2 linked regions of the Schizosaccharomyces pombe genome follow. The gene in region 2 interacts genetically with the main gene of each other region. Each region holds a gene or a part of one and is shown on either strand. Other genes may lie near its edges.

Evidence for each region. Genes that interact genetically often act in the same process or in processes that back each other up.
Region 1: of rad55 (region 2) and kms1, a mutation in one rescues a mutant of the other (synthetic rescue), as found in Schizosaccharomyces pombe (one study listed by BioGRID).

What each region holds. Positions count from the first base shown.
Region 1 is NC_003424.3:3,460,993-3,465,937, reverse strand, and holds kms1 (protein Kms1), read right to left. Parts: upstream 3,041-4,945; 5' UTR 2,874-3,040; coding exon 2,811-2,873; exon of another isoform or gene 2,680-2,810; coding exon 2,240-2,679; exon of another isoform or gene 2,194-2,239; coding exon 873-2,193; 3' UTR 630-872; downstream 1-629. Other genes in the region: sei1 (seipin), read left to right, coding at 1-396, 494-629. UniProt on the Schizosaccharomyces pombe protein: Has a role in karyogamy, recombination and segregation during meiosis. Although it has been shown to associate with the spindle pole body it is unlikely to be involved in its formation or maintenance.
Region 2 is NC_003424.3:2,065,880-2,069,792, forward strand, and holds rad55 (DNA recombination mediator, RecA family ATPase Rad55/Rhp55), read right to left. Parts: upstream 2,036-3,913; 5' UTR 1,886-2,035; coding exon 1,870-1,885; intron 1,826-1,869; coding exon 789-1,825; 3' UTR 563-788; downstream 1-562. Other genes in the region: eisosome BAR domain-containing protein Pil2, read right to left, coding at 1-125; SPOM_SPAC3C7.04 (transcription factor), read left to right, coding at 2,885-3,913. UniProt on the Schizosaccharomyces pombe protein: Required for radiation resistance and meiotic viability and acts in recombination and recombinational DNA repair pathways.

The DNA of each region.
Region 1 (4,945 bases), 1.4 Mb from region 2:
CACATCTTTGCTTCAAATCAAAATGCCGCATTCTCCTCGAAATAGTGCTATGGGCAATTTTATGGTTTCTGTCGATTTTCAAGATAGAAATCAAAGATCTCTGAAGCAGGTTAAACGAACAGTCTTGCTTCCTCATAGGTCTCCTATTCACGAATACCTTAAGCTAATTGTATGTTCACCTCTTTACTTCATGGGGATTTTGGAAGAAACAGATATTGTCAATGTCCGTTTGTTCGAATCTGAAACATTTGCTAAAAGTTTTAATTCAATTACAACACTTTCCGTTAGATTTTCTGTCAAAAATACTCCAGCTCAAGCTATTGTCAAAATTTATTCTAAAGATATTGAATTTTACGAAGCGACTCTAGCTTTTGCATCAAAATTGCACGGCATGCGGTAAGTTTTACTTTTTGATTTACCTTCTTCATTTTTTTTACTTTACTCAATTTCTTTACCTGTTATACTTTTTCACAAACTAACTTGTCCTTACTAGCTGGTTCATGTATACGCATAAGGTTTCCGCATTTCTCGTTTTCACATCTTTATTTTGGTTTACGGGGATAACCTCAACGATAATTACCTATCTTATTGTCTCTTCCACATCTGAAACAAAAGCAACAAGACGTTGAATCTTCTCACATCTTCACTTGCATCTAAAATCATAATCGTCACAACCATAAAAATACATTATTATTAAATTAGAAAGTTCCATTATTGCTTTATCCGTTAGACCCATTATTCAGCTGCACCTTTATGTACAAAAAGTTGAAAAAGGGTAAAGCAATTTAAATCAGCACTGATTTTTTTTTTAGAAAAAAAAAATCTTTCGCTAGCATCTTCATTTTCGTCATTATTTATTAGTCGCCTAATTATCAAGAAGGCTGTACCAGTTCATACCGTCCATAAAGGAGTATAATTATATGTTCGCAAAATGTAAATACAACACGCAAAAAAGCTTGCAATAGCTCGGCGCACAATATGTAATCAAGTCCGTAAAAACAGGCAAAAAGAAAAAGGACGTAAAAAAGTCGCAAAATGTTGGATTTCATAACCGATAAAAGAAGCAAAGGTTGTCCTTTCGTTGCTAGAAAATGGGGGTTGTCTGCATTAACAGTATCTTGAGACGCCATAAAATCTTTAGAGGAGTTATTCATTGTTGTATTAGTTGCCATGAGTCCTGTTTCATCGTCACTAAAGCTCGAAAGAACTGTGCATTCGTGGCTTGATTCTTCATATGTTGGCATAGAGGAATCGTACCGACGACAAAAGTCGTTTAGGGTTGGAGACATTTTGGAAAGGCTTTGAATAATCCATTTTTGGATACCAATTTCCTCTGAAAGCATCAAAAATCCAGCAACCAATTCTTTGTTTCGCGAACTTTCAGCAGTAAGAGAGCTTTGCAATGATTGACTTATGTGTTTGCATTCTTCTATCGTTTTCTTTTGTTGTTTACATTTAAATTCCAATTCTCTTAATTCTTCACTTTCCCGCATTCCAACCGCAGGAATAGAAATGCAAACTGATGGTTGAGTGAAAGAAAGGCCAACCTCTTTGGAGTAAACCATTTCGTCAAGGTTAGAGGGTGATAAAAATTCATCTCCTTTTGGGTTATTAGACAAAGCAATTAAATGTTTTTCTCTAGTAAGATCATCTATGTGGTTGTTTAGCTGATTATTAGAATTTTTTAATTCATGGTTCTCTAAAGCAAGCCGACGAATAGTATTCTCATTTTCACTTGACCGAGATGCAGCCAAGCTTAATTCCTCAATTTTCTTAGTCTGATCTGTAAACTTACGCAAGAGAGTGGCATACCGAACTTGCAAGGCTGAAAGCTCTTTTTTTGTGGAGTAGAGGCCAGAGTTTGTCTGTATGAGTTCTGACTGAATTTTCTGAAAGTTTTTGTGAATGTTTAGATTTTGAGCCTTAAGAGTCTTAATTTGGTTATTTTGCGAATTATTGGCTACCTTAGATTCATTATATTTGGAATCTGCCATATTTAGTTGGTGGGTAAGTTCATTCACTTTTCCTTCTAAAATATCTACAGTACGAGATTTCTTTCTAGCTTGATCTCGAGCTTTATCTAACATATCCTGGAGTTCTGTGATTTGCTTGATTAGATCATGGTGCCCGTTGGAAAAATCAGGTTTATCCTTCCTAACAAGTGGCATCTCAGTATTTCTGGACGACGTATTTCTTCTTGTTAGAATTTTAATGACTTTTCTAAAAAAAAAATTCTTACCTATTTAGTGGTGTAGATTGGGCAAATGGAGTTCGAAGAATATTGACAAAATCACTGTCGGTAAATTGAGACATCGGCGGCAAGGACAGTCTCTTAGACATCATTTGAGAAGGGTTTAAGGATTCAGGAGAGGCATTAGAAGATGATTTTGAATGTGCAGAATTGACAGAGTGTTCATTTGCATCCTCTTTGATAGAATTTTTGGAATTCTGTTGCTCCATCGAAGGCTTTTCAGCTTGATTCGCAAAAGAGTCATCTTCGTTTTCAGTAAGTTTTTTATATACGTCTCGAAAATTATCCTTTGTAATAGAGAGATCTGCATTTTGCCGTACGAATTCGAGTGTACATTGTTTTTGGAATTCGCTCAAAAGAGGTGGTGCAGAAGCGGGATGTAAGAGTTGTAGGTCATTGATGATTGGCAAAAAGTTGGAAAGATGAACCTAAGAAAATTTTTTGTTAATAGTTTATCCTATTGGTAATTGGGTAAAGCGAGAAAAACCAGAGTCTTGAGAGTTTGTCTCTGACTCAATAAACAAGATCTACCTGCATAAGCAATCAATTTTTTTCATACTTTTCCTTCATGTTTAAAGTCATATGAATCGAAAATCAAGTCAAAATCGCGTTCATTTAGCATTTTGGAAAGGGAACTGGCAATTATAATTATACAGGAAACGAACCACAATTCTAGTGGGAATGGGATTCAGTTTTGAATTTTTTTGTTAGAATTTATCATAAAGCTGCGTGCATTTCATAACAGTTCACGAATTCACCGCATTTCTTAAGTGTTGTGAGTTGGGTTTCGTGCAAGGTCTATCCAAGGGTTTGGCAGTAGGGCTGTTGAGCAAGTGGTTTGAGAGACCAAAAAGAAGTACACAGAAAAAGACGGATTAAAATAAAACTTGAAAATAGATAAAAAGATGTTAGAAGAAATCATGTTTATGCTTGATTTAAGAGCAGCTAGAAAAGTAAGGCCACAACTTGGTCGTACTGTGCATACTTAAGTGATAATTCAAATGAAATCGCAAATTAAAAAAAAAAAAAAAAAAAATTATTTTTAGTGAAGTAGAAACTATTCGTATTTGTTTTATAGATCGATCGATTCCTCTGAGAACTTCAAGCGAATTTGCAGTAATTTAGAACGCCAGCATTTATAATTGCGGGTCAAACAACGATCGCCCAAGAATCTTTCATAGACTCCAAATAAGATTGGTTGATTACTTAACTTATATTTTGATCCTTGAATCGTTTTAGTCAATCAACGTCGTATATATTGTACTTTTTAAAAAATACAAGGTTTTGATCGTAAAAAAAGAAATGCATAGAAAAGGTCAGATTTTTTCATCCAAGAATGTGCAATAAATACAGAAATTACTTCTTTTTCTTTCAATTTAGCCAACTCTTTCGAAAACGTCTTCTATTTACATTTTCTATATAGCTACTACTCAGTCAAAACAGTTGGTTAGCATGTTACTTTATGAGAAGCGAGCGATGTGACGTCAAAGGTTTTTTGGCGAAATTAACACTGTCCATATGTATATGTGTTTGAGCGTGTAAAACCTGGTTTCTGCCATTTACATATTTTGAAACCTCTGTACGCTAGTTTAGTTATTTCTCGTATCATTTTATTTTTAACTGGTGCAAGAGACAAGAAAATTCATTTACTTTCGTGAAGATTTGAAAAATTCGTTTGTCAGCTTAGAATTCTTTGCTAGCAGCATTATTTGTACATTTTCAATTGGACCTCTCTTAGCTTTCAAATTTTATTAAATCTTCTTTGTTTTCTTTCTCTTTTGTACGAAGTGATCATCGAAAAGATAGAGAACATCGGGGTTTCCATTTATGGGCGATAATGTATTTTTAGAGCCTGATCCATGGGCATCTAGCAGTAATTGGGGTTCACCAGTGAAGCCTTTAAATTATAAAACAGCAATTGGTTAGTAAAAGTTTTGTTCTTCTGTTTTTTCCTTCTCAATTAATAGTTAATTTTACGGATCGATGCATTCTATCATTGATTTGTTTCTTTAGCTTGATTTTTTTTTTTTTCATCTTTCTTGCTTTTTTACTTACTTACTGTAATGATGCTAACCTTTTTCTTTTTCTTTTTTTTGTCTATAGGTAATTCATCCATTCCTTTGCAATATCGAAATTATTGGGACGTGTTTCAAGCAAACAATGTTCTCTTATTTCCAGAAGAAGAAAGTTATTCTGATATATTTCATGTTCCTCAAGATGTAATGAAAGAGTTCTTTACCTTGATTGAATCATCAAGCAATCAACCCTTACGGCAAATTCAGTTTTTCGTTTTGCTTGCCTTGGTTGCCTGTTATCAATTAGGTGTTCCTAGCACATTGGAACAGATTTTCAAGCAAAGAAATGGTAAGGCTTTTTTTTATCTTTGCTTTTTTTTGTCTTTTTGCTTACTTCCTCCTCCTTAGTCCTGCCCATTTTGCAGCGTTTTAATCCGGAACTTTTCAATCGTAGTTCTGATAATGAAACCCCTCTTTTTCCTAATAATTCTCCTCCTGCTTCAACAACCGCCTTGAATCTTTCATCCAACATTGTCCCTTCCATTAATGAATCAAAAATTTTAGAACAAGAGGATGACGACGTCTCCAATAAATCCCTCCCTCACGCTCAGCAAAGCATCATCCGTTCGTTTCCTGATATTCAAAAGCAGCCGAAAGGATTCTTTTCCTATCCTTCTTC
Region 2 (3,913 bases):
CGGAATTGTCTGCCGAGTTTATTAACATTTACTGCACGACGGGTAGTAGAGGGAGGAATTTGATTCTGTTTCGCTTTAGGAGGCGCGCGAAGCGTATGAATAGAGTAAGATGGTTGAGTGCCCATCATCTTGCTAATTACTTGATAAACGATTTAAGACTTTGAAAATATGTATATATAAAAAGAGAAAGGAAATACTAATAAAAAGGTTAGTATGTTAATTAGAGGTAGGTTGAAACAATGTTCATTAAAACATACTTAATCCGCCAACTCACACTAGACAAAGCGAAGTATAAATAAGGTCAGGCTCAAAATGGACTTATTAGACTACACTTTCGAAAGTAACAAAAGAGCTGTAAAGTTCAGGTAGATTTTTAGCGACTTGAACCCATGTTTTAAAGATTTGAGCTAGGCTTGAGACGTCACTATGTCAACATGGAATTTATATGTCGAAAGCATAATGTCATTATTGTCCGTACACTGAATGCGACACCTAAACAATTGAAAATTAATAAGGACTTGTCAATCAGCAAACATATAGATATCTTAATCATTTCCCTCCTCTATGACAATTAGCAATTTCATAAAAATGAACGAACAAAATAGCTTATGATACATTATGAAAAGATATGAGATCACAAATAAATCATTGAGAAACTTTTGACCAACACTCGACAAGTATTCATAGTTGTTTATGCAACGTAATGAATAGGTATAATAAATTAATAGATATGGGCAAAACAACCATCACTATGCTAAAAAATTCGTAACTGAAGCCACCATTTTTACCTAGGACTCACATTCCAAAATGGATCTCTTACGTCGTTGTGAGCTATTGGTAGGAATACTTTGATAATCCTGAATACCAGTAGATGTTAACTGAAAAGCCAACTCTGATTCTGCAGAATGAGCTGGTGGCTGCTTTGCCATGAATGCATAGCGCAGAAGCTGATGAGAGGGACGACTCTGTCCATCTTTTGATTCTTCAGTTGAATGCCTACTGTAAAGAATGAGCCGATAAGATAGATTATCTAACCAATTAGTGCTGAGAAGCGGTATCAACTTAGCACCTATCCCACTAACAACTTTTGAAGTCATCTGGGTGGTAACAAAGATAGCCACATAACAAGAGGATGTAATTTTGCTTAACAAAGAACTGATTGTACCGATTGCCTTTTTTCTGCGGTTTATTGTTGTTTTGGTAGAGGAGTTATGAAATGCAAAATTCGAGTCGTCTTTACTCGAGAACTCATTTTCTTTGTTTAACGTCAAAGTGTTTTCTTTTTGAGATGAATCTGAAAGGGAGCTTTTTTTGCTGGTATTACGACGAAGACGTAGATAAGCATAATCTTCTGGACTGGTTGGATATGCAAGTTGAATAGGCATTGATAGGTTGTCAATAATTAATAATCCAATTTCTTTAAGATGTTTTTCTTGATCGAAATTTCGTAAAAAAGCTAGAATATTCACTAAATTGGGTGCATATACAACATCGAGAAGATTTAATAACTCATCAGTATCGCATTTTTCCTCTTCATCTTGGGAAGAAGGGACGTGATTGTCTAATAGTTGACGAAGTCTCTCCATGGGAATTGGTTGACAAGTTTCGACCCAAATCACACGAGAACCGGAAAGAAGAGCGTTTGCAGTAATCTGTAAAGCCAAACTTGTTTTTCCCATCCCAGGTGCTCCACATACTTCAGAAATATACCCTCTTTTAAGACCACTTCCTCCAAACGCATCATCCAATAATTTTGAATTAAAGCCGAAACCTGGAGCAGAAAATGCTTCGTACGCACGAATAGCAGGTTGAGTCACTAGACGATCTAAAAAGTATTAGACACAGTTAGCTAGGCTGGAAGTCGCATACGTTGACTAGACAGCATTTATTTCAATGAAGGTTAAATCCAGCACAGTGCGACCTACTAGAATAACAGCGATACAGTTTATATTAAATTGATAACAGCATAAAAAGGATATAGGAAAATTTCCCTTTACATGAGAAACAACGATACGTTGTAAGGTTTGGAGGTGTTGGTAGAACGACAAAGGAAATCCTACGTGTTTTACTTTGCAATCATTTCATTAAATGTTGTTTCTTATAAGGAATAAATTATTTTAGTCTTAAGGTTAAGCAGATTAGAAGGTAACAAATTCGTAACCTTTATACATAATGGGAAATTTGACTAGGTAGGTCAACAGGAATGCAAGAGTAAGCTCAAGTTCATTTGAATCTATGATTCATTACTGCCTTTGACTTTGAACTTTAAACTTTGGGTTCATATAACGCAACATTTACATTTGTATTGAAACTCAAGAGGGTTTTAATCAAAATAGCTATTATTTTCGTACTACATTCCGTTTATGAAATAGCGTGTCGACCGATATGTGTGCAATTAGTTTACTATGTACACAATACTCATTTTATTGAAGAAATACTAAAATGGAAAATTATTAACAAAAATCGATTGCATGCCATGCTTCAATAAACGTATAAGCTCGTCAACGAAAAGAAATTGACGGAAGTTCCCATTTTCAAAGTACAATACAAGCAGTATTTATTTTTCAAAAATTTAAAATCGGTTAGATTTTTTCTTAAAGTTATGTATAAACAAGGTCTCATATACTAATAATATGTGTATATATTAGATTTCGTTGATAAAAAAGGTTCGTACCACTACACTAAATTACGCCCTCCAGTAGAACATAGGAGCTGGGGTACTACAATTTTTTCTTTTAGGCATTTACTAATCAAGTTCTGCCAAGTCATTGCCATAGTTAAGCATTTTCTCTTTTCAGAATTGAAATTCTGTAATATAGAAAAAGAATTTTAAATTTATGGAAATTGGTATGAACTTGGTATTTTACTAACATAAACGGGGAAAATGAGCCATGAATTTTCACCTGAAAATACGGCGGTTCTGTTCGAAGCCATGAAGCAGGAGCAGCATAATAGGAGACGTCGTGTTCCTATGGAGAGACGAAGAAGGGTGGTTCTAGCCTGCTTTAACTGCAAAGCCCGGAAAGTTCGTTGCGACGGGGCAAACCCATGCAAAGCTTGTGCTTCCAATAATTTGGAATGCACATATCCAGTAAAGGATGAAAAAGAAATGGATTATTCTAAGGACTACTTTATTGATCTTTCAAAAAGATACAAGTGTTTAGAATATATTGTTGAACGTCTTTGTTCCACCAAAGTTTCGACTTATACTACACCTTCATTGATTGAAGTTTGCAATCGTATAAGCAACCAAAAATCACTATTATCTTCAGATGTCTTTTCCCTCAATAGTGAAAGCACCAATAGTCAACGTGACGTGGATACCCTTACACAAGGTGCACTTGTTTGTTCACAAATTCAGCAAGATCCAACGGTCGTAGCAGAGGATACGAACAATGGAATCAATGCTGATGCTAGCGATCAAAGCGTTGACGAAATCATGAAATTAATTGGAAAAATAAAAGTTGACTCTAACGGCGAATCCCGTTATATAGGAGCTTCTGCTGGTGAAGCATTCGTTGACTCTGTTCAAAGTGAACTACTTGTCGATCCTTCTTTTTCCGAGCTGAGCGCGTATTCCCATACCCATCACAGTTATCCTCCGAATGAACATGATGTAAATGCTGTTCAAAAAGCGCTGAGTCTTCTCCCTCCTCCTGAAGTTTCAGATTTTCTTATCAAATCTTTCTATGGCCATGTTCAAGCAAATTTTTTCTTTTTCCATGAAACATTACTTCGTTATCGTTTAAACCTTATCATGAGCTTCCAAAATCCATCCGTTGACCCTGGCTTTCTTTGCTTGCTAATGATGATCTTTGCACTTGGTAGTATGTTTGCTCACATGGAAATTCGTTCTGCTAGCAATCCTTTTGACAACCCAGGAAAACAGTTTTTTGATACTGCTAGGCTTTTG